Linked DNA regions of Astyanax mexicanus. The protein of the gene in region 1 purifies or fractionates together with the protein of each later gene. This does not show direct contact. Links are inferred from orthologs where the notes say so. Each region holds a gene or a part of one and is shown in the gene's direction. Other genes may lie near its edges. The genes, in order: cnot1 and obi1.

Region 1 (13,314 bases):
ATAAATGCAATATTCTGTGGATAAATCAGGAGAAAAAATCATGATAATGTTTTAATTCTGGTACTTGACTCTATTTTTTGAAGAGGACAGTAATAATGGTGTAGTGTGATTTACACCTGACAGAATAGATCCTTTTTTACATTATAATTATATCTCAGAGTATATTCACCTTTAATATCTCAGGGTTGATTAACTGTATTATAATATCTCAGGGTAGATTTACTGTATTATACAATCTCAGGGTAGATTTACTGTATCATAATATCTTAAGATAGGTTTGATGCTTTTTAAACTAGAGTATTGTAATGTGTTAAGTAATTTAGTTTAACTGAGAGTTTTAATGGAGAAAATAAACTCCAGTGTAGCTCCATATTCCACATTACAGAGTGAAAAGAGGAAATGTGCAATCAGCTCTGTGTGTTTTTGTGTGCATGACCACACACATTTTTTTTTTCACTATTATGTTTAAATTTTTGATTCAGCATTAAATGTTCACACCATGTTAACAGCAGTTTTTAAATGTAAATTTAATTGCATTTTTCGTGGTCAGGGTGTTGAGTAATTATCACCATACTTTATTTCCAACTTCTTAACTCATTCTAAAAACCCCAAGAGCGCCATCATTCCAGAGCACACTGTTTCACAGCTCCACATCCCAGTGCTGGGGGGGCTATATACCCCTCTAACCCCCACACCTGACATTTAGACATGGTGCCAATTGGTTCATGTTTATCTGCCCCAGAGTGTCCTGTTCTATTAACAGTACTTCTCTACAGGCATTGGACAAGCTTAGTCAGCAATATATGCAACTTTAGTAGCTGTGTGCATTCATTAGAAGGTCTGTTCACAAACATTTGGACTGGAAACTGGTAGGTTTTAATTTGTGTGTCAATTTAAGTGTGTGAATTTTATTTTTTTATTTTTTTCACTTAGGGAAACGTCCCAAGAAAGGCATGGCCACAGCCAAACAAAGACTGGGGAAGATTCTCAAGCTCAGCAGGCATAAATCATTCTTCGTGTAGTACCCGAAAGCAGCAGCATCTCCTCCTCCTGCGTGTGTGTGTGTGTTCCGGACAGATGGAGCTCTTCTGTCACACACTCTTGCTGTGTGTCTGTTAGGTGACAGGGTATTTAAAGAGCACACTTCTACACACTGAATCCACCAGAAAGAAGCACATTAGTGGGGCTACTGCACACAGCCATCTACTGGCAGCAGAGAATATGACACTTCATTTGATTTCAGCAGAGTTTGCAGTTGTAAATCTGACGGGGAAAAACATCTCACATTTTAAGACATAGGAAAATCTACATGGAGAAGAGTTCAGGATAAACCTCTGCATTTTAAGATTTACTGCCATCTCTCTGGTCATGCAGCGCCACAGAGAAGTTGGAAGTGTTCTCCAGCAACGTACATCACACTATTCAACTGCCTCTTGCTCTTAAAAACGACTTCTCGGATGTTCGTTGCAAATATGTGGAATTTAAAACAAGCCGATTGCATTAGAGTGATGAAATGATTTCCTGAAATGGTGCTTGACCTGCCAATCAAATCTCAGTGTAAAGAAAGATACGATAAATCCACTTTCTTATCTTTCTCATTTCATTTTCTGCTCAAGAAATAAACTACCAGTAAACTTCCAGGAGGACTTGGCTGTACCACCTGCTCCTTCATTCTCAAAGCTGGAGAGAGGAGGGCTTTAATCAGCGGATCATTTTCAGCAGATCAATTTTTTAAACATTTTAGAGGCCTCAAAAAAAATAAAAAGAGAGAGAAAGAGTTGTTTCGTCAGCATTACCACCATTTTTACATCCACATTTTTACTCAAATGACCACATTTTTGAACAGTCAAGCATTTCTTCAGTTCTCCGGCACCACCTAGTGGTGGGAGAGTGCATGTACTGTGGAATTTATTCGAGAGGAGCTGAACAAGAAGACAAACATTTTTAATTTATTCCATTTTTAAAATAATTTTGGTGCTTGTTTTTATTTGTTCTTGTTGTTTTTTGTATTCACAATGCTTGTTGTTTAAATTTGTGTATTTATTACTGTTTATTTTATTTGAATATGAATGGTTGTTTTTGTTTGCTATTGTTTCATTTTGTTTGATGGATTTGCTTGTTACACAGTATGAATACGCTGACCAAGATGAGGAGCTTTGTTTGACACACTGCAAAACATATTAGATCATATTAGATAGTTTCTTCATTTTTGCATGTACTTCAAGTACATATAATGTATTACAGTCTTAAAGATGACCTCAATTGTAGCATAAAGTTTTTATTTTTTTAATGGGAGATAACAATGAGCCAAAACATTATGGCCATCCACCTTATATGCCTTTAGACTAATGCATGCAGCCAAAACAATAGTTTGGCAGTGGACAAGGGCTTGCTTTGGTACTCTGAACCGCCTGTTGCTACACAGTCCCATAAGCATGTAAGCTTCTGTGAGCCTGGCAACCTGTCATCAGTCCTCTGAACACCGTAGATAGGTAAACACCACTGCTAACCACAAGCTGCCCCACAGAAGTCTGACCATTTTAACCCTCTGTGGCATGAGTTTTATTATAACTGAATAATAAGCACTGCTAAGTCCTGAGTCAACAAATTAAAACACTTTGAAAACGTAAATTAAAACAAAAAAAAATTAATACCTCAATATATTTCTTTACATATTGTTGCTCATATACATGTTTTATTTTTCGTAAATGTCTTTAAAGTGAAACATGTTAAAACACTATATTTTTCTTATCAATTACTAGTATTGCATCCCATGTGGCTTTGGTTGCAAAAAAAAAAGATTATTCCACCTCCAAAGAGAATGTCCAAATTCTTCTCTTTATTTTATTTAATGGAGGTGTGTCTTGTGACATATAAAATAAGATAAAATAAACATAAACAAGGATTAAAGGGATTGAATAATCAACAAAAAAAAGTTGTTTGTTGCCATAGAGGGTTAAAGTCATTTGAAGTCATTCCAACACAGTCTAACCCAGTACAAGTTAACAAAAGTTCCTCAAGTCTTCACACCTTGTCTAGCACATGCCTAGAACCAGGATTGAACACTATTCATTTGAGTGATGTGGTCATAATGTTTTGGCTCCTTTTGGGACACAGTAAGCTCTTCCCCTACCTTCCCCCATTACAGAACTAACGTGGACAGTGGTTTAGTGTCGAGAAGTGTTAACATTGCTGATATATATTGATTGTGGCAACTGCTTTCTACTTGTTTTATTGATCAATTTGGGATTAGTTCTCACAGCAATGTCCTTTTCACCACCAACACCACCACCAACGAATATAAGCTTCTCCTCAAGTCTCCTCAAGCTCGAATGAATTGAAACACTGTCTGTCTGTCTGAATTGGTGCTGAGTGTTGTAAAATAATGAGAGGAATAATTGTTTTTCCAAGAATGTTTGGTATATTAATGGGGCTGTTTTTTTTTTGTGTTGAATTGAATTTGGCTATGGCTGGTGTTTTTACAAAGAATTGAAAGAGTATTTATTTTTCTAAGACGAGTCTTAATCCGTGTAGAGAAAAGTTTTGCAACTGCACCGACAAAGTGTACATTTGTGTGTGGGTTCCATTTTTCTTGAATTATAGCTATGACTTTGTTGTGTGAGACACAATTAGACCCTGTATGTGTGAGTGTGTGTGTGTGTGTGTGTGTGTAATTTGACAGAATTTGCTCGGGTTCTGTTTAGTCTGAACAACCTCAGGTAATTGTCAGGCCAGAGCTCATTGATTTGGTCCCTTTTGAAATGCCAAATAATGTTACGATATTCATTTTGAGGTTCGAGTCCATTCACTTTAATTGTGGTGTCCCTCAGGGATCTGTGCTGGGCCCTGAAAGCATCACCAGCAGCAAATGAAATGAGCCGGTTTTGTATTTCTGTTTTTGTTTTATTTTGTTTTGTTTGCATTCAGGTTAATACAGGTTACAGTCTTCCCATTCACGTTGTTTCAGAATCAGAGAACTCTTCGGGGTCTGAGGTCAGTTCAGGTTAGTATTTTTCCACATGCTTTGTTAGGAAACTAAAAACAGTGTCTTCTTCAGGCAATAAAAGTCTCTCCTCCAGGCTTCCAGAAATCACATTTTCCACTTCCCTACTGAACTCACTTCACAGCTTAATGAGGTACAGTGAAAAATGCTCAGGGCTCATTTGACTGTTTAAAAAAAAAAAAAAAACTTTTGATATTCTGTTATTTATATGGACTTGGAACTGCAGGAAAACAAACATTATTTAATTTGGAAGACTGTTCAACAGGTTCAGGGTTAGATTTGACGTTCTGACGATTTTGTTTGGTGTGTTTGTATGAAGTTTGCCTGGTGAGGTTTAATGTGCTTGCACTAATTTATCTCCATACAGCTTTGGTGTTATCTTCTAAACAAAGGAAAGAGTTTCTCCACCCCATCCCCACCACTGCAGAGTGCTTGTCTTTGTCTCAACACCCCTTCCTATAATAGTCCTGAACCTGTTTGACTGCATCCTGAAGAGCAGCCTCAACCACCTCAGATATAAAACCCAGGACTCGCAGGGTTGTCCAGAATGGTGTCGAATTCCAGTTGCATCAAAACCTGCCTGGGGCTTTAACTTCATGTCCTTCATAACATCCTCCACCCTCACCCTCACCCTGATTTTATTATGGTGCTATATCTATATTGTCTGACATATATGTATATGCAGGCTAAAGTGCATATCATGCATATGTATTTTGGGATGATGTTTTGTTTGATTAAGGGGTGTGTATCAGCCAACTTCTACATAAATCCTGCACTAAACAAGCTCTGCCTACATAATTATGTAGCTGTAACACACACACACATACACACACACACACACACTACTTTGCTCCACATTGGTAAACATCTCTGCAAACTTTCATAACATGTCATAACAATGTTACTGGCCTGCAGGCAGGGCTTGTATCATGCAGTACTTTAACTTGTACAGTATTTATTTGGCATTCTCTGTTCTCTTTTTTTTTTTTTTTTTTTTCCTTTCTTGCTGTCAGTTTTACACCAAATGGAAGTGTTGTTGGTCATAGTGTGTACTTCCCTAGATTTGATGCTCTGAATTATGAATGTTTGTTTTTTCTTTACCTTATTCTGTGCCAGATATTTCTCGTCACACTGTTACAAATTGCATTGGATCTTTTGAATAGGAGATTTCAGCTGTACAATGCGGCCTGTACATATTAAAAGATTTATGAGTGAACAAATCCTTCTGGTCAGTGTGGATTTGCTTTTACGAAAGCCTTTCTTAGCACACTCTGCACTGAGAGCTGTGCTCATGCAAGGACTAATGTGAAATGTGTGTTTTTATCCAGAGGAAATGGCTAATGCAGATTAGTTTTTATTTGTTTATAAGCATGTGTATTTTCCTAACTAGACAAAAAAAAAAACTAGTTTAAGGCTACGTTCACATTACAAGCCACATTAAATAATGAGTTAGCAGCTCATATGTGGAGCATCTTTTGCTGGAGTGGAGAGTAAACAGCTGCTCTGAAGTTCATGCTCAGGTCCAGGAGGTGAGAAAAGGCCAGGCGGTTTGCTTTTGCTGTTTTATTAGCTATAGCTGCACAGCTGCACCAAGAGATGTGTGGGTACGAGAGAGAAGCACGTAGCGCTAATGCTAACGTGTAAAAGCAAAAAGACGCATGAATCTGATTTGAAAAAATCGGAATTTATACGTTCACACAGCCGTGAAAAAAATCTGATCTGAGCCACATTGTGCAAACAATTTGATTTAAATCACTTCAGCCTGGTAATGTAAACGTAGCCTAAAACTGTGAACAATGACTTTTGGGGGGAAGATCGTTCTTGACAAGTTATCTTGCAAAAACAGAGAACTTATTGTGATCCTGTGTGCTTGCTATTTTTTTAGCTATATTAAATGATACTAAAATAAAGCCATTTGGGAACTTCAACTGTTCTTTATAAAGGTATTATTAAGTAATCTTGCTGCACAGATTGTTTATCTACCTGTGTAATAATAGCATGTTCTGGGACAATTTGCATCCAGGACGTGCTGGTATTCTGTAGAAAAAATGTTCTTCTCTCTAACTGTGCAATATTGCCAGTTTTGCTAAACCTAAACCTTAACTTGAAGTATCCACCCCCATGCTTCACAGCCTTCTACCATTTTCCTAATGAACCTGTGTTGTGTGGTATACATACTTTAAGCACTGACTTGGAGGTCACAGGCTTAGTATTTTTTTACGACTCTTCAATACGATTATGTTTGAACAAACAACACTGCACAATAGAACAGTGCTCCACCCTCTTCGTGCAAATAAACTTCTATGCAGGTTCTTGTCACTCAGTTGGTGGTTTTGTTGATATTACCAGCATATAAACTCCTTTCTCAGTGTTCTTGTGCTTCCAGATTTCCACAGTTCCCCTTAACTTCTGCATGCACACTGTAGAAACTGCAAACTGAAAGTCCTGGAGCCTTCCCTTTTTTATGGGCATGAGTTTTTTTTTTGTTTTCAGACATTTGGACTGTTGCTGAAGACCATGTTTGATGAAAGAATATTATTTGGCACAGGATTTTTGCACCCAGGTGTGTTTAGGAGTGTGTATTATTATTATTTGCACTCAGGTCTAAGTATAAATTTGTACTACTACTAAAAATATTTCATAATTTATTTTTAAGTGCATTAAGATATACTGCATTACAAAGTTTTAAATTAAAGGTGAAAAGCCTCCCTGTATTGCAAATGCTGCTTGTACCAAAGGACAAATAATCCCATAAATTCCCATATTTTTTTTTACCTTAAGAAATATTCATAATGTTCTATAATAATAATGACCTACTTTACCCACACAAGTTACAGCTATATAGATGATTATGCTGTTTTTATGTGCAAATATTGTTTGAAAAAGTTATGCATATTTTAATAAAATGCTATAACTGACAGAATTGTTTGTCATATTTTTTCGTCATCTGATAGGTTGTTGTGCTGCGCGCATCGGGCACGACCATACGAACTAGTGATTCGGTTCGATTTAAACCGATTCTTTCCAACTGTCTGATTCAATGAATCAAATGTTCAATTCAGTGAGTCACTGATTCTCAAATCAATACCTATTGATTATTTTTACTTATCAATTGATCTAAAATGTAAAATATATTTTATGTTATATATGTATGTGGTAATAACCTATATGGTATCATCACACATTTCCTTTTTTTCTCATTTTGTTTTTTCCCCTGCGTTCCAGTTATTTTGTTATTGTATCTTAATAAACAAAACCATTATCATTTATTTTTAAATTATTAGCCTGTCTTTATCCTCTAAATTAAACACTCTGCATATTTATAATTTGTCTTTAAATATGATTCAATGAAGGAATGTAAGTTGACCATCACACCCCATCTCCAAACCCCCAAACTTATTCCAAAAAAATTGTAATAAGAATAATATTACAATAATAATAGAATATGAGCACCATTATTCCAGAGAACAGTTCCACTGCCCCACAGATGACCCTGTCTCAACAATTTCATTTTCACTTTAATAATTTTATGTGACTTCAAATTAGGCATTGTATTTATTTAGCTAGGGAGGAGATCTCATTAACACAAATATTGACTTAATTTATTGGTTTTATTAAGTTTTTATTTATTTAGAATATTTTGACTTTTTTATATTCCAGTCACAATATCTGATATTTATATTAATTTTAAGTGCACTGCTCTTTAACGGGTGTAATTACATTGTTATATCATAATGCTATTATACAGTACAAGTCAAAATTTTGACTTTGAGCTTAATGGTGTAAAAATATAGATTTCTTTGCATAGGTAATTCTATGTCCCTATTGCTAGCATTGTAAGTTGAAGCAAGTGCTGTATTTCAGAATGCTTGGGGTAAATGGAACAGGACTATTCGACAAACGTTTGTACTCGTCCATGTACATCATGTTTCACTACACCCCAAGCATTCTGAAATACAGCACTCATTAAATAGAGCACTCATTTTCTGCAAATAAGTGCTCTAAATTACAACATATCAATTAAGAATTTGGGAAAAATGGCTGAAATAACAACAAAGATGCAGAGCTTTTAGACCTTAATTAATGCAAATAAAACAAGTTCATACCTATAAAGTTTTAAGAGTTCAGAAATCAATATTTAGTGATTTTTAATCACAGTTTAATGCAGCTTGACATCATGTTCTCCTCCACCAGTCTTACACACTGCTTTTGGATAACTTTATGCTGCTTTACTCCTGGTACTCCTGGAAAAATTCAAGCAGTTCAGCTTGGTTTGATGGCTTGTGATCATCCATCTTTCTCTTGATTATATTCCAGAGATTTTCAATTTTGTAAAATTAAAGAAACTCATCATTTGTAAGTGGTCTCTTAATTTTTTCAGAGCTGTATATTGTATCTAGTGAATAGTGAATAGTGAATGTGTTAATAAGTGAACCATTCCGAACACAGTTAGCTTTTGAATCAGCTCTACGTATTTGATTCACGAAGATCGGTTCAAACGAGCCGATTCGTGCGCGAGTCAGGACGTCGCTAATAAGAAGAGCAGCGCCGCTGGGTGCGCGCGAGCTATGATAGTCGCCATTTTATTTTCGAAAAAGCGAACAGCACCGGGGAGGAAAGCGACCTTTCACCAGAGCAGACCGAGCCGAGAAACGTAAGAGAGAGAAAATACACACGATCAGCGGCGCGTAGTTTGTGTGAACGGAGGTAACGTACGCGTTTCAGCTCTGCTCTCGTTTTGGGTTCCGCTCGCGGACGTTAGATTAGTCTTGTTATCGTGCGGCGCTGCTGTGTTAGCCGAGTGCTAATCTACCGTCAACGCGCAGTCAGCCCGGCTAGCCTGCTTCTCTACAGCCGCTCAGCGGAGCGAGGCAGGCGGGGGCGGATTCACGCAACATCGCGGTCTGAGAGCACTGCAGCAGATACACGGAACTAGGCTAGCGGTTAGCTAGCTAATACCTACCAACTCTAGCGTGTTTATCACTTAACTACAGATCACTCCTTTTAGTTAGCTGTCTTTCACTCTGTTTAAATGTGAACACAACTTATAAATATCAGATATTTTTTATAGATATAATAAAATTATAATTACTAGCTAGATAACATTATTCACGTTACTCAAGTTTTACTGTATTTAGCTAGCTTAGCTTCGATAGCTAAGCTAGCTGAGGCCCAGAACACAAGCTTAGGTTTACAGTCATCTAGTTACTTCTGAGCTTTTTAACATAATTTAACTCATTTACACACGAAATAAACTGCTCAAATTGTGATTGAAATATTTTTTTAAATCGTATAATTTACAAAAACAAAACACAAGCGAAACTATAGCCAGCATTCATGGCATGTGTGTTAACTAGCTAAGCTAGCTAGTAATGTTATGCTCTCAAGCTTGCTAGCTAGCACTAATGGTCTCTTAATGGTTCAAGGCTCCAGCATTAGCTTAGCGTTAGCTAGCTTAGTTAGCTGGGTTAGCTAACTAGCTGAAGGCCCTGTCTGCAGTGGACCGATATGTTTTCCGTTTCTCCAGAGGATAACCATAGAAGGTGGCTAGCTAACATAACGAGATTAGCTAGCTGTTAAACTCTTAATATGATGGATTATTCGTCGGGGATATTAAAAATAAACAGATGTGAAACTGAGGCCTTGAGCTGTAGTTCTCTGACGCTTTTTTAGCAGGTGAACAGAGCTGGTTGGCTAGCTCAGTTTGGAAACAAAGGTTTTTCTGAAGTTGAGAAGGGTCTTCTGGCTGACGTGAACTTTAACCAGGTTAGGCAGTAGGTTAGATAACTAGCTAGCTAAATAGGTTAGATCATCTAGACAGGCACTTTATGAATAAACATTTAGCTGTGCTAGTCTAGCTAAACATACAAATTAGCTAACCTATAGCTATTTGATAAGTGGTAAGTTAGCTAGCTAGCTTAAATCAGTGGATTGTAGTAATTCACTGTAACGTTACTTTGCGCAAATTGGTGTTTTCCTACTCACCACTAGACCAGCCACTAAGCTCTTCTTAAAGTTGAAAACGTTGTATTAGGGCAGGGAAAGCACAAATATGTAGACACGCTGGACTCCAGAAGATTTATTTTGTAAAAAAACACTCGTGTGCCGTTAAAAAAAACAAATCTAAATTTATTATAAGACGAGGCAGCTGCTGCTTTAGCATGTTGGGTTAACTTGCTAACTAGCTGCTACCATTTACTTCTTGGGGTTGACTGTAAGCACCATCTGGCTAAACAAATAAATAAACGGTTGATTCCAGAAGATTGTGTTTGAGAAAGCACTGGACGCTTAGTATATGGTTATTACAGGATAATGCATCTTCTATTTTAGCTAGCTAAAATGGTAGCTAGCTTCCACCAGTCAGTTCTGACGGTTGAAATAGCAGGAAAAAGCACTAAAATGTGCAGGCAGCAGGTTTTAAAATATGTTGTTATTGTAATTATCGGAATAAATCAGGTTTATTTGGCGTATTCACCATTGTTAGACGCATCATATTTAAGTAGCTACGTTAGCTAGCCTTATAGGAGATGATGCAGCTGTTACCTTAGCATGTTAGCCTGCAAGCTAGCTAGCTGGCTGCTGTTTATTTCAGTCTGCAGTAGAATTTTCCTCTTATGGCTAACTATTTTGTAAAGCTAAGATTTAGTTTATTTACTTCCTTACTCGTGGTTTTACAATCTTTTAAATGTGGATAAACTAAATTAAGATTGCAGGAACCAAGCAAGCTAGGTTTAGCTATCTGCTAGTCAGTCTGGGGAATGAATGAATTGACTACTGATATGGTTTAACATATCAGTTTAACACTATATTCACCTGGGTTGTCTCCTTTCTCAATAAATTCTCCAAAATTGTCGAAATTGGGTGCCTTTTAGTCATTTCTTGTTTTTGAGGTGGAATAAAGTGGTAACTAAAACATTAAGGATGTCTTAGGAATGGAATAGCAGTGGCCTCATTGATTCCTGGACAGATTTTTGACAAAGGATTTATACATTTTATTGATGTAGAGGTAAATAGTAAAGCAGGTCTTGCTTCTAAATTTCATACAGTAGGTCTTTCACAAATATTGTGCCAAAAATAAATCATTGAACATTTGATTCGTATGACAATTTCTTAACACTGATAAAATAAACATTTATTTTTAAACAGCCACAGACTTTTAATTAGGAAATATTTAGATATTTGTTGTGACATATAAGATTTGTAACAATGGAAATTAATGTTTAATGGGCTCTTCTTGCCAAATGAACTCGATAATGTTATTATTACATATAGCCTTGCCTATACAGCTAAGAGGGTTTAGACACCTTGTTGACAAGCAATGGTTCGAGTTTACCGTGTTTTGGTTTGTACTGTAAATGACTACTCGCATCTGTGTGTCCCAGAGTGTGTTTGTACGCACGAACCGCTCTATTGTAAGTAAAATAACTGATTAAGTAAGTTGTGTTTACACAGTTGCTTGTTGACTGTAGCTTTATCTCCTTTTGAAATTGTACTTTCTAGACCAATCTAATCTAAAGACCAATACCTAACTGTAGAATTGCCATGGCTTCCGGGTATGCAGCTGCATGCACCCTTAAGTTTCTCTTTCTCTATACTTCTGCTGCTGCCAAAGTTGTGGTTTTAGTAGAAACCAAAGAACTGAAACTAGGTTTTATTGCTGTTTTTTACCATGGCAGGTTAAGCAGCGGTGAATTAAGTAGTTTACATGCATACGTGTTTACAAGCAGTTTGACTTCTCACAGTAACTACAGAACTACAAACTACAAAAACGTATAGTGTTGCAGGTTAACTTGTAAAATTGCTGTGGGAGTAGGTCTTCCAAGTATGTCAGCATATAAACTTCAGATTTTTGTACATGCATACTTTGAAACCTATAGGCCTGGCATGATCAGTCACAAAGCTAGTAAAAAAAAAATTGTCAGGAAATTTGCCTTTTCTAATCATATTGTGGACATCGTCATTGTTAAAGAATATGCAAAACAAAAAAAAGACATTAGCGTGATATTTGTAGCACGTTACCACCTGTATTCTAATGGAATTTTACTGTTTTAATAATCGTAAAATACATTTATCAATTTTGTATCTCAGTAATTTGATCTAGTTGCTGTTCACCTATAAAATGGACCATTTTAAAATTATTTGTAAGATTTTTTAAACTTTCTTTCCGTGTTGCAGGTCTGTCATTCCCTTTCTAGATGTTAATATTTCTTTCTTTTTCTTCATTTGTAGATGTCATTCTTGAAGTTGCAGTAAGGGACCGTATTTTGAATCAGGATCCACCGACAGAAGCCACTTGTTGGACACACGGACAATTACACACCTGGGGAGGGGGGGGAGCAGAAGTAACCTATCACCGAAGTGACTAAAGGGGAATAATGGTGATTTTGCGCCGTGCTCGGCCGCCTGCTTCCGCCCCAACCAGCAATGAATCTTGACTCGCTCTCGCTGGCTTTGTCTCAAATCAGCTACCTGGTGGACAATTTAACTAAGAAAAACTACAGAGCCAGCCAGCAAGAAATACAGCATGTGAGTTTCTGTTAAGCTGTTGATGTTGATTATGAAGATCAATAATGGAGCCATGTTTTCTACATTAATTTATACTGTTTATGCTTTAATCTTTTAAGATATTTTACAAAAACATGTAATGTTAATGTTTTGTTAGCATCACAATATCTTACAGACAGCCATTGTGTTTTTTATTTTTTTTTATTTATTTATTTATTTTTTGTCTATAAGGCTTTAGGGACATGTTAAAGCCAAATAATCTCAGTTGTGGATTACTTTATCGCAGTCAGTGCAGTATGTCATTCACAGATGTAATAAGTGTTAGGGCTGTGAAGGTCACACTTACTTGATGGGCATGGAACACACTCTCACTCTCCCTATATCTCAGATTGTGAATCGTCACGGCCCTGAGGCAGACAGGCATCTATTACGCTGTCTCTTTTCCCATGTGGATTTCAGTGGCGATGGTAAAAGCAGTGGGAAAGATTTCCACCAGGTACCTTTTTTATTTATTTGCTAGTTAGATTTTTTTTTTTAATGTTTATTCTTTCATTTCTGGTTTGATTGGTACAGGAATGTCTTTCCACTCAGTGCTCATGGATTTACTGCTAAGTAGGGCTATAACATGTTGTATTAAATTGTATTGTATATGTCGTAACATTGTAATATAGTGATTAAAAACACCCATATTGTAGTAATAGCATTATTTTCTATTATTTTCTATTTTCTATTGTTTACTGAATTAAAATATGTACTATTGAAGCTTTAGGGGAATATTTGTTGAATTGTTTGCAGTTTAATGTCAT
Region 2 (13,111 bases), on another chromosome or scaffold:
GCAGTGCGAAATGCACTCCCTCTGACCACTTCCTTCACAGACAGGGAAGACGTATGGGAAAAACGGAGGGCAGTAATTTGACGGATGGTCCTCAGTGGTTTTATTGGGCAGTGACTGATAATCCTCAGTGGGAGAGCTAATCTGATAACAAGTCTGGCTGAAATATCTTACAAACGACTGGACGCGGTCCGTCGGGCCAAGCAGCTATGATTGATACTTGGACACACACACACACACACACACACACACACACACATGCACACAGACACAAAAACACACACACATTTACATGCTCTTTAAAGGAGAGTTATTTTAATGCCTTTTGGATGTTGATGTGTTTCTTGTAATGATGGTGCTGCTATTGATGTATTATGTTCAATGGCTTCTTTCCTTCCACAGCGGAAGACATGTGACTAGTATTTGATCTGAATAGTACCATTATATGATTTTAACCTCATGCATTTACACTTGCAGAATTTACAGAATGTGTCTCCAACAGAGATACTGAAATCTGATTAGAAAAAGCTGTTTGGGATGGAATATGCAAATCTGCTTGTTACACAGAAGCTAAGGATGAACCAATACCATTCTGCCCTTCTGATACTGATGCTAATGTTAGATTATCTGCCGACACCAAGTACAGATACTGATACCAAATGTGACCAATTGATTCAGTTAGATCTGTATGTGAGTTGTGAGGTGTTATCTTGTGAGTGAGGGTAAACACTGGGCAGTGTGTTCATGGCAAGGCCTGTTGGAGATTTGATCGTGGGTGCAAATGGATGGTACATTGTGTTTCTGAAGTTGTGAGGGCATTTACCATTCCTCAAAGTCATTACCACCCACAGTGGACAGCGTAATGATTGTGAACGGTGGCATCTGTCTAGAATTGTCAATGTAAAAAGACAAACAACTCTAAAAGAAATCACATCCACATTCAATGCAGGAGACCCCACAAACACATCACACAGGACAGTACAGTGTTCTTTAGCTTCCATGGGATATGGCAAAAGTCATGGGACACTAGATACTAGTTCCTGGCTGATACTTTTGACATATCAGATGAGTTGAATATAATTGATTCTAATCGATTAGGGAAAGCTTTAGTGCACAATGTTTTTGTGGCACATACTGTTGTTTACAGGAGGAAAAAAAATCTTAACTTTGAAATGAAGTCTGTTTATAAATATTGAATTTTAAGTCATTTTCATTCATAAGATTTGTGTAAACTATAGATCTGCCAGATTCAAAAAGTGTCAAAAAGTAAAAAGGGCCATATATATATATATATATATATATATATATATATATATATATATGGCCCTTTTTACTTTTTGACACTTTTTGAATCTATATATATATATTTTGGGTGGAAATAAATGCATATTTTGTAAACCTTTTTAAAACATGAAGATAAAATTTAAATTATATTTAACCACAATTAGATACAGATATTCATCTCCTCCACAATATTGAATCAAAATACAGTTCTTGTTCCTGTGCTTCTAGTGTAAGGGACAATAGTGTGGGTATGAAACCATACAGATGAAAGTGTATTTATAGTCATATTTACAGGTACCCCGTCCCTTTCATATGAAACGACTACGCCAGCATGAGTCATCCTTAATAAAAAAGGAGTGAAATTGGGGATTTATGCTTAGGCCTCATATTGGCAATATGATATAATGCGTTCATAGGAAGTTATTTTTTTATTTTATTCCTGCTCTCTTGGACACATTTTAATCATGTTTTATGTGATCTATGCATGCCGCTTTGTGCTCTTACACTCTTACACACCCTCTCACTCGCTGCCCTTACCAGAACAGATTGCTACAATACTTGTAATGATGCTTCTCCCCAGCTGTGGAAGGACGGGGCCAGTGGACGACAGCATTTCCATAATAATCCACCCTGCGCTCCCAGGGGCCCTCTGACACTGAGGCGTGTGTGTGTGTATGTGTGTGTGTGTCTGTGTGCATTGGATCCACTCACAGGGCATCAGCTGTTCCGTAAAGGGGCACAGAGTGCGTGGGGCATTCACTCGTCTGAGCCCGCCTGCAGGCCATGCAATAAAACCAGCAGCTTCAACAGCACTACTGCAGAGAGGAATATATATAACAGAGAGAAAGAGATAGAGAGAGTGGAGGGAGGGAGAGAAAAGGGAGAGAGAGAGAGAGAGAGAGAGATTTAACTTTTAATTCTAATTTTAGGAAGCAAAAATATGGTAACACTTTACTAACATTACTTTTACTGTCTATTTTTACAAATGTAATTTTTTTTTGGCCTAATAGGAACCTAGATGTTATTCTTTACATTGTGTTCAATTGTCATGATGCATGGGTCAATAGAAATGCTCAAAAATTGCTTTGATAAGTTATTTTTTTATTTCACTTCCATTTCAAGTTTTTTTCGCATTATTTTTCGTACTGTAAGCGTTCTTAAAATCCAGTTCGCCTAATTTATGAATTCTACCATTGAGGTTGTAAGGAGCAGTAAAGCATTGTTATACAGAAGTTTCAGTGAAGTTTCTCCAGCACCGAAGCTGGAGCAGTATTAGCATTAGCCGAGCATTAACTGCACTAAGCGCTAGCTCTTTTGCCGTTCAAAGGTGAGTATATTGGACTGTAACCTGCCGCTAACTCCGGTTAGCACAGCTGGAGCAGCATTAGCATTACTTGCTGTTGGGCCTGCAGGTCCCGCACACTTGTAGGCTGCAGAATCTGGCACCCAAGCTGTTTCTATAAAAGCTTGATTGGTAATAAATCTGGTAAACAAGCAGGACAAGGCAGTGTTACAATCTAGCAGAGCCATTCCGGTGAAACCCTTACTGTGTGTGGGTGAGCATTATCCTGCTGAAAAATATGACCCCAGGATGTCCTGTACACATCACTTGGCTGTTAGTGTTCCTTATAGTATTTCTACTAGGGGTGACTGATTATCGTATACAATGGCTCCTTAGACCATCCCATCAGCATTTGGGGCAGTTAGTCGCTCCACAGCAAAGGCAGGACTGAAGCACTCACCATGAGGCATCCATCCTCAAAAGCTGTTTATTCTGATATAACAATAAAATAAGTTGCTTCAATGCATTTTTTCTTAATTCATACTTTACTGTAAAAGTAATTATTTTCATTTACAAACCGAATAAAAAATTTGATTATATTTACTGCTGCCAGTTCTATATAATTGTTTAACTGTTTATTTTTTAAGTGTAGGTTGCATTGTTTAAAAGAGATTAAAGCTTTTGCCTATTTTATTAGATTAAATAAGTAATTTTATTGGCACAAAAGTTAGTCTTAGTTAATAACTAAGGGATAAGTGTGCTGATCCTCAGGATAATGGGGGGCAGCAGCTGCTGTTCTCCTGAACTCTACCCTGCAGAGAGGTGATGGAGCTTAGGTGAGCGTCCCACTGCTACAGCGAGTCGCCATGGCACTCTCCTCCATCTCCACAGCTATCTCCATCAGGGGCATCACTAATCAATACATTCCTCCTGCAGGGGGTGGGGGCAAAATGTCTAAATCACCACAAGAGTTCAGCCACGGCATGCTAAGCTAATCCTGTTCAGCCAGAGTCACTGAAAAACATACCAGACTAGAGGTAGCGGAGCGTGTCCCTATCTGTGTGTATCTGTGTGTGTGTGTGTGTGCAGGGAAACAGGTGGGGGGCAGGACAGAGGGAAGGAAGGAGGGATAGAAGGCTAATTAATGTAAGCATTTGTCAGTGATTAAGCTTTAAACAGAAAAGGTCAGGCTAGCGGTGGAACCGGGCTTCTCCCCGATGCTCTGCTCTAAGGCAGTCTAAACCTTTCCAGCCTAAATGGTAAAGATGCCATTTCGCCGTGTGTGTGTGAGAGCACGCGTGGAATGGGGGCTCAGGCCGGACGCTCGGGTCACCCTCCATTACCCCGGCCAAGCTAAATCTGCCGATCTGTGTCATTTAGGGGATGAAAAATAAGGCCCAGGACGAAATCAATAGACGCTGGAGTCTCGACCAGCTGTGATTAATTGACTGTCACCAATTAATGAGCGAACGATTACAAACCACTGGACTGAGGCATGTAGGGGGTGAAATATGATCTTAGGAAAGATTGTGGAATATTTTGAACGTTGACTATTCTTTATTTAGACACTAGAGGTTTTTAGAATTTTTTTTAATTAGTTTTTTTGTCCAACATGTGCAAGGAATTTATGTAAAGAACTTTAACATAAAAATATGTTCATAAGGTTTTTGTAACGAAAGTAAACACAAGATTACAGAAATTATTAAAGAAACACTTACTTTTATACTCCAACTAGGTCTGGGCAATGTAAAGTATATATCAATATTCAGATAGTAAACAATTTTATGCAAGATATAAAATTGCCACGTTCATTATTTTTTAAATTTGTAATAAGTGTAATATATGCAAATTTGTTAATTCCAAAAAGGTGCATGGGTTGTTTGTATGGTCTCATTTCTAGAGGGATGTCCAAAGTAAAGTATAGTGCAAAACATCACCATTAAAGGTGGCGAGGTCAGGCAGGACACAGCGGAATATTCCTTTTAAACACTGAGACAACTGAGACATGGCATCATCTGAGGTGATGATTCACTGGGATGAATCATAGTTCCTGTAAAGTATGAAATCACTGCTGCTTTAAAGTTCTGAGGCATTACGAGAACATCATGCTTTTAGGTGTCTGTCATGAGTGTGCATGTGTGCATTCCCATTACTGTGATGTCACTAACAGCACAACACAGAGATACTGCATGTTTGAGGCTTTTCTTAAATGACTTCCATAGTTCTGCTAATCCGTAACAAGACCACCACTTTTGAAAAGTGTGGGACATGATGTCTGACCAAATAAGAATAAAATAAAAAAAGTAAGTCTATGCAATGTACAATCATAATTTATTAGTCGATTTTGTTGTTAGCTTTTTGGTTAGCTTTTTTCATTGATATTCCGGCTTTAATGTCTTATTTACACTAATGAAATCATGGTGGATTGGTCGAGGCTAATATTTACATTGTTACACTGCGTTAAACAACAGTTCATACGTTTTGGTGAGAATGTGTAATTGCAAAGAGCATGATGGAAATTATTAAGTCTTTTTTATGTTGCCAGCTCTCTTCAATTCAAATTTTGTGTGATTGAGCAGATGAAAACTGAGTTTGTCATTCTGATACCACCATGTTTACAGTAACTACGGTAGTAGTGTCATAAGCAGCAGCATATGGCACAAGATGGAACAAACTGTAACTTGCAAAACTGTCTCTTAAAATTATATTAATAAATCCAAAGAATCCTCTGTTAGTCTTGTCTTTTTTATGTTTTTTTTTTCCATTGTACTGTACCTGTACCGAACCGTAAAGTCCAAACCATGGTGTGAACTAAATTGTGACCTTTGTGTACTGTTACACCCCTAGGTATATGTAATGGCATATGACTTATTTCAGGGAATTTAGTAGAGTATCCTCATGCATTATACACAATGCTGACTCACTCAAGAGCAGAAATACTGACTCAACACAGGTCAGGAATTTCTTCATGCTCAAGTTTACATTATTTCATATCTTGCTGAATGTCCTGCATGCATTTTTAAAACGACAACTATATACTGGTGTAGTTTGGGTTTCTGAAGCAGAGAGGACACATTCTGTGCAGTTTTCTTGTGTCTGAAGTTACTGTTGACATGTTTTCACTTGCACAGAAGACTCATACTGTGGGTGTTACAGTGGTACGAAAAAGTGTGGGCACCCCTTATCATTTTCATGATTTTCCTTTATAAATCACTGGTTGTTTGGGTCAGCAATTTTGGTTAAATGTATCATATAGCAGATGAACAAGCAAATTAGACAGATGCATACATTTGGACACTCTTGTCATGCAGAGGGCGCACCCATCCTATGGTCATCTTAAAAGCAGATAAATGAAAAAAAGCTATATTGGCCTTTTAATAAAGACACAGAGACATTTATGAATATGGAATATGTATGAAATACTATCTTCATTTGGAGATCCGTTAAAATGTTTTAATACTTTGGTATACAGTACTACCATTAAAACTCCAACCTTTCAATGCAAGTCCAGTTCATGTTATTAACAAAGCAAGCCGAGCCAATATCATTAGAAAAGCCACTGGCGTCCTGCGGTTGCCCTATAGTGATCTGCTTGGACATAGACTTGTCTGTAGGACATACACCACACAATGTTTTATGGTTAGACAGTAGTGGATGGTGTGTTGAAATGAAACACTTGCAATAAATGGCAGTAATGCAGTTCCAGCATCAACGTTATGCTGCAATCAATGTACAACACAGTTTCCCTGTGGTTCAATTCTAATCAGGTTAGGTCACAAGGGCTCTAAGATGCACTGCCATTAAACTACAAGACAATGAAGCCACAGCATGTTTCTGCCATTTGGCAATGAGTTTTTCAATTCAATTCAGCTCAGTTTTATTTGTAGGACACAAAAGCCCAAAGTGGCTTTTCTAATGAGCATCGCCGAGGGAGAGAGGGAAAGAAACTGCCGGTGAGAATCAGGAAGAAACGCTGAGAAGTACCAAGACTTTCTATGAGTGAGAGGAAGAAACACTAGTGTGGGCTGCAGAACATAGTATAATAAGGATACAAGCCAGACAGCTTTTTAGGACACAGGGACCGTACTGAACATGGGTAGAGAACTGAGGGCTGGGGTCCAGCTCAGTTTGGTTTCCTCACTCTACACACCAGCTAAACTTTCCAATTAACAGGTGAGTTGAATCAGGTGTGCCCTCCAGGGCTCCTGATATAAGGGTTGGAAACACCTGTGCTTAATAACACTAATTTTGTACTCAGCTAAACTTTCCATGTTGGAACACATTCATTATGGTGGATAAAGAACACAGTGGAATCACAGACTGTAACATCACCAGTGGTGGACTAAAAAAGGCAGGATATTCCCAGCTAAGAAAGAACATATTAACGCATTTCCATCGATGTAAAACTGACACCACTCTGGTTCCCAAACCTAATTTTGAACTGTTTGCCACGTTTCCACCAACAAAATAAATTTCAGAACCGAACAGACCTAATGGTTTTTACAAGCCCAAACGGAACTGGTTCAAGAACCAGAGTTCTTTTGGTGGAAAAGCGCTCTATAAGAATGTTTAGCAAGGTTGTTGAACCTTAAACCTTAAAAGTTCCAGGAATGTTATGAGAATGTAACATAATAATATCTGCAGCACAATGTTATTAAATTATTTCTCACATAACGTTTCTAGTTAGATGAACACTAATGCTATGGAAATGTTAAATGTAACAATACTCAAAACTAAAAATAAATACAATAACACAAAAATATTCTAAGCACATCCAGAAAACCTAACCCTAATTAACCCTTGATGGGGCACAGCTGTTAACTGAAAGCCATGAAAGCTTGGTGACTACCTCATAACGCCAAGATATCTAAGCAAGAGGTGCTACTTTAAAGTATTTAAAATATAAAACAAAATCTGGTTGGTTTATTATTTTTTTGTTTTTTAAATTTCTTTCTCATAGTTTGAATGATTTTAATTTAAAATGCTGATTTTTTTTAAATAATGGTACTGGTACTGTGTATGCTTAGCTTATATTGACTGGTTCACACTATTTTGATAACTCAAAAATCCTGCATTTGGTCTTCACACTGTAACAAAAATACAGTTTAATTATTCCCAAGTCTTACCAGAAAGTCTTGTTGTCCTTTCCCTGTGTCCTTTTAGTGGATAGTGCTGTTAACAAGCTGTAGCCGGGTTAGCTTTTAGCCTTGAGTGATTAGCTGGTGTTTGGGAGTTAGCTGAAGTAGCTAGCTAGCATTGGCTACAGTAGCTGGGTTAGCTTTGCTTTTAACTGTGAGAGTGACTCTGTGAGAAATGACTTTCAGGTTACAGGTTATTTTAGTTATTTTTTAATATTATTTATTTTTATGAGTTTAGCAACTTAGCAACCTAAATTTTAAGGTCTTAATTCTCTTTATATAAGTTACATATATTTGACATAACAAAAATAGAAGGAACGTCTGAAAATGTTCTTAATATTTGTTTGCTAAGCTAACCACTAGCTAATTTGTTAGTTAGCTATCTAGCTTCCAATGTTTTCTCTAAACATTTTATATGCCTGTTGTGTATATACAAATATAAATATTTATGCACAATTGTTTAAAATATTTATATATATGTATATATATATATATATATATATATATATATATATATATATATATATATATATATATATATATATATATATTTAATATTATTTTCATTTAATTTTTTACCCAAAAGTCCGTAGCAGGGTGTGTGTTTATTTCCCAGCGCTGCTCAGCTCAGGCTTCTCTCTTCCTGTGGAGATTTTGAATCGCGTTTGGTTCCTCCGGCTCGCCGTAGCGCGGTTACCGGCGCTGTTTTGAGTGTGTGTTTTCTCCTAACGCGCGGAGTTTACAGGGTTTTAATCTGCATGTGTTTGTTTTAGAGACTGAAACATGGCGCAGACCTGCCAGAGCGTTACCCTGTCTTTAACTCTGCCCATCTCCTGCCAGATCTGCCTGGGGAAGGTAACTAATGCAGTGAGATTACTGAATTAATGAAGCAGGAGCTGCTTTTGTTCTGCCTGCTTTCACCTCACCTCACTTACCCAGACTCATATACTGAACTCCGGAAAAAAAAGAGATAACAGATAACTAACATACTATTAAACTGTTAAAGTGTTTTCATGTTTTATATTTAGTTTCTGCTTTTATTCGTTGGTTAGTTTGGCTAGTGCTTTAAACCTCTTGCTCTGATGCTCTGTGTATATTTTAGTGTGGTGCGGAGAGGCTAATACCTGACCTGAAAACAGTTTAACCTACTAAAGTACTTTAGCTTAATGAACTTAATAGTTAAAACAGTCAGTAAACCCAACTTATTTATTACTTTAAGTAAGTACACTCCTCTACTGCTGCTCTATATTACAGGATAAACCTAATTATTATTAAATATTACCAATATAAAAGGAAAGACTTAGTATTTGTACAAAACAGTAGCATAGGAAAACCTGACTTAGCTAACTAGCTTACTTATTTATTGCTCTTGTAAGTATCCTTCACTGCTGCTCTCTACTGCTGTAAGGTTGAACTTTGGTCTAATTGGAAATAAATACATATTTCCAATATAAAAGGAATATATAAGACTTAATATGGTTTAGTGTACGAAAAAGCAACATATGAAAACCTTAGCTCACTAGCTAGTTTACTTAACCTGTACTCTAAAATAAAGTCAATATTATTAACAATATTATATTATTTTTGTTCCTGTTGATACCAGTTATAAGAAATAAAATGTGGTTTAATATACTAAAACAGCCACAGAGTTGTCTGATCACAGATTATATAGAAATGCTATCTAAGAATTGTGATTTTGGCTATATTGCCCAGCTGCAGTGTCTTTTCTCGTATGTATGTATGTATGTATGTATGTATGTATGTATGTATGTATGTATGTATGTATGTTTATAATAGAATAAGTAATTTAAATAACTACTATTATTGGACTCACACAGTTGTCTTCTCTCAACAGGTTCGCAAACCCAAGATTTGCTCCAACAATCATGTGTTCTGCTCGACCTGCATTGACGTCTGGCTTCAGAAATGTAGCCAGTGTCCCACCTGCAGAGTGGCCATCACCCCTGAAAACCCATGCAAAGAAATCATAGGTAACAAGCTGTGGAAGTCCACTGAAGTCCTGCCATGTCTAGTCCTGTTTGTAGTTCCTGCTCTTTTTAGTGGCAAAAAATTTAAATTAAATCAAGTTTTATGGTAAATTAAATATGTTCAGAACCCTGTATGTTTTTGTTTTGTAAGCATTGTTCTCCTTTACATAAGTGGATCTTCAGTATTATGGCAGTATTATTAAGCAATCCCATCATTCAAATAGTTCTACATGCATGCTAATGCTACTGTGCATCAGTTACACCAGAGTATACACATTATGTTTATTGAACATTTATTTACTCTACATTGCCACTGCATTGAAACTGTCTTATTTATCTATTTTTTTATGTGATAATAGGAGCAACAAATGATGACAGCGAATCAAACGAAAGCCACTCAGTTAAGAAGCATCTCAGAAAAACCCGTGGGGAATTAATACTGCAAGAATACGAGGTTTGAAAGTTATGCTTTGCTTTTTTATGCACCTGGTACTTCAGTTTAATTTGTATAATTTTACATACTTATAAGTAAATGTCTCATAATCGGCTATATATTTTTTAATAGTTGATTATTTCTGTGTTTATTTGTCCTTCAAAAGAGCTATAGAAAGTTTCTGATCTGCTGATTGAAATGGTTATTAAATACTGATCTGCATAGAGTTTAGTTCTTCTTTTAGCTGTTTAACACCAGCTAAGTGTTTCTTATGTAAGGCACCCAGTCTGATTCACTGGATCACTGGTCTAACTTTCAGGATGAAATTGAAACCCTACTGAAAGAGAACGAGGAGCTGAAGAGCAAAAACCTGAGCCTCGAGACGCAACTGAAGACTGCTCTGGAACCCAGCACCTGCTTCTCTTCTCAAAGTGAGACTGAAGCCGTTGACCCGAGAGTTCTGGAGGAATCGGCCAATAAACTCAAAGCTGCCAATGAGCTCTATCAGAAAGTCAGACAGGATGTGGACAAGCTGAAAGAAGTAAGATGTTAATGTTTTAATATTCGCTATACAGAAAAGCCAAGCATTCCTAAAGGTTTCAGAAAGCGGTTTTTGGAGTGATGTCAGGGAATCTGGAAGTATGTGGAAGTGCCAGTGGAAAGAAATTTTTCACTTCAGTTTGAGAAAATAAATAAATAAAACATAACATATAGTTTCCATACAAGCACAACACAATTTAAGCGTCTTTAACTGACCGGAGATTGATGCTGTGTAAATCAATAATTAAGAGGTATATTAAAGTAAAAAGCCTCAAGAAATTTTGGCAATGTAACACTGCTAAAAACTTTTTGTTAGCAAAGCTTTACAAAGCAAAGTGAGCAAAGTGAACATTTTACCTTAATTAGGATTTATGAACAATTATATTATTAGAAAAGTGTTTTAATGAACAGTTATTTTAATTGATTATTTAAACATTAATTGTAATGTCACAAGTTTTTAGTTTTTTCTTTGGCACAAAGAAAGTTTGAAGGACTGTTTGTTTGCGCAAAATGCATTATCAAGATGTATTTTTTTACAATGCTTCTAGTAAGGAAAATGGTACTTACATTTAGATTAGATTTAAATTAATTGCCTAGCTTAGGTAGTGCTGGGTGTAATTTTAAAATTATTGATACAGGTATTGATACAATACTTTGAATTCGGTACTGATACCCAAATTATACTTTTTTTTTTCTTTCTAAATTGTAAAAAAAAAATGCTGCTTGATTTCTTTCGAAATAACCAGTTTATTCTAAACAGCTGTTTATTAAGTGTGCCAGCTGATGACTTGTGCTTCTTCTAGGCTGAAATTAAAACATGCAGCCACACAGCATCCCAATGTGGACTGGTTTAACACCACTCGCCCAGCTGAAGGAGAAGGGGTCCTCACTCTTATCCACAAAGAGCCATTGTGACTGCAGGTTTTCATTCTATCATGGCAGTAGCACATTTAAAAACCTGTAGCCATGCTGGCCTTTATAAACAAAATTTTTGTATAACATAAAATGCAATGATTTACAGGTGCAAGCACATGTGAACAGTTTTTCTTGCCAAACACGACAAATTGTCACTTATATCTCTGTGGTTCCCTGTATTATTTCAACACAAAGCTGACTAGGTTGTACATTCTTTTCCCCCCACACACTGAGCCTGAATCTCAGATGGCTCCTTATTCCTTACTACACCGGTCTAAAATAACTGCTTCTGCACCCAAACAGTGCATAATGTGTCTAACAGATAGCCGTTTGGGATTTATCCACGTGTACAATAAATCCCCTGTGGACAAAGTGCTCTATTTCAGTGTAGAAGAATCCAGAATTTCACAGCTCATATAATATGCTGATGCACGGATCCAAAACATTATGACCATACACACATGTTATTTGAGTCTAAAGAGTTTGTGTTGTACCTGCTCTGTAATGCCAGAGAGCAGCTATTATTTGGGTGGTGGGTGAGTCTCAGAACTGCTGGAATGAGAGGCTCAGACACAGCAGTGCTGCTGGAGTTTTTAAACATCCCTGAGAATGTTATACCAACCAGACACAGTGTCTACAAACTCCAGCAGCACTGCTGTGTCTGAGCCTCTCATACCAGCACAACCCGCACTAACACCTCATATACCACCATCATTCCACTGTCGCAGCAGTCTGTAATTATACAGCTACAGTGTGCAGCTGATGAATTAGGCAGTGAATATAGAAACAAAAGGGGGTGCTTTTAATGTTATGGCTAATCTATGTATTGTTGCTGTCAGAACAATTCTTTGTACCAATTTGTAGAAGAACAATCCAAACTCCTCCTTTTTTCCGAGACCTTTCAGAACATCTCCGTTGGTCCATTCATCATAAAACTCGTTTTCTAAAAATTAAAAATGTAATTTTTGAAATGCAAATGTGTTAAAAATTCTATTGAACTGGCACTGGCCAGAGCGCTGTTCCTGCCAGGCTGTAGATCAGGAAAGCTCATAACTCAGTGTTTGGCTGTTATATTATTCAGCTGCCTGCTGTAATGAAATGTCCTGCTACTTGTACCGGTGTGTAGTCCTGGTCAAGCGGGCTTTTCTTCACAATGTATGAACTTTTCCTGACCCTGTCTCTGCGGAAAACGCCTGCTTTTACATGACGGCCTCGGCGGGTTCTATTGACTTTGAGCCGCTGAGTTACTTAATCAAAAGGCTGGTGGTCTGAAGGCAAACTTGCATTCTCTCCCTTCAGGCTAACAAGACCCTGAGGTCCCAGAATGTCGACCTAATCCAGGAAAACATGCGCTTGAAGGCTGAAGTGGAGAGCAGGTCTCCTCAAAAGTAAGCACAACTTCACCATTGTGCACTGATAACTGTGTGTGCGTCTGTGTGTGTTTCCTTTTTTTTTTTTTTTTTTTTTTTTTTTTTTTTTTAACAAATCCTCCAGCATTACAGTTACCGTCACTCTTTCCCCCCCTTCATTATTC

What was found.
Region 2: the proteins of cnot1 (region 1) and obi1 purify together in Homo sapiens (affinity purification with mass spectrometry; 3 studies listed by BioGRID and IntAct, with this or other methods). This does not show direct contact. The link is inferred for Astyanax mexicanus from reciprocal best matches to the Homo sapiens genes CNOT1 and OBI1.

Annotation. Positions count from the first base shown.
Region 1 is NC_064417.1:4,145,146-4,158,459, reverse strand, and holds the start of cnot1 (CCR4-NOT transcription complex subunit 1), read left to right. Parts: upstream 1-8,522; 5' UTR 8,523-8,657; exon of another isoform or gene 8,658-8,710; intron 8,711-12,232; 5' UTR 12,233-12,427; coding exon 12,428-12,529; intron 12,530-12,896; coding exon 12,897-13,004; intron 13,005-13,314. Other genes in the region: kdm7ab (lysine-specific demethylase 7B), read left to right, coding at 934-1,022.
Region 2 is NC_064412.1:53,331,385-53,344,495, reverse strand, and holds the start of obi1 (ORC ubiquitin ligase 1), read left to right. Parts: upstream 1-8,358; 5' UTR 8,359-8,484; coding exon 8,485-8,556; intron 8,557-9,556; coding exon 9,557-9,692; intron 9,693-10,048; coding exon 10,049-10,143; intron 10,144-10,441; coding exon 10,442-10,663; intron 10,664-12,876; coding exon 12,877-12,965; intron 12,966-13,111. UniProt on the Homo sapiens protein: E3 ubiquitin ligase essential for DNA replication origin activation during S phase.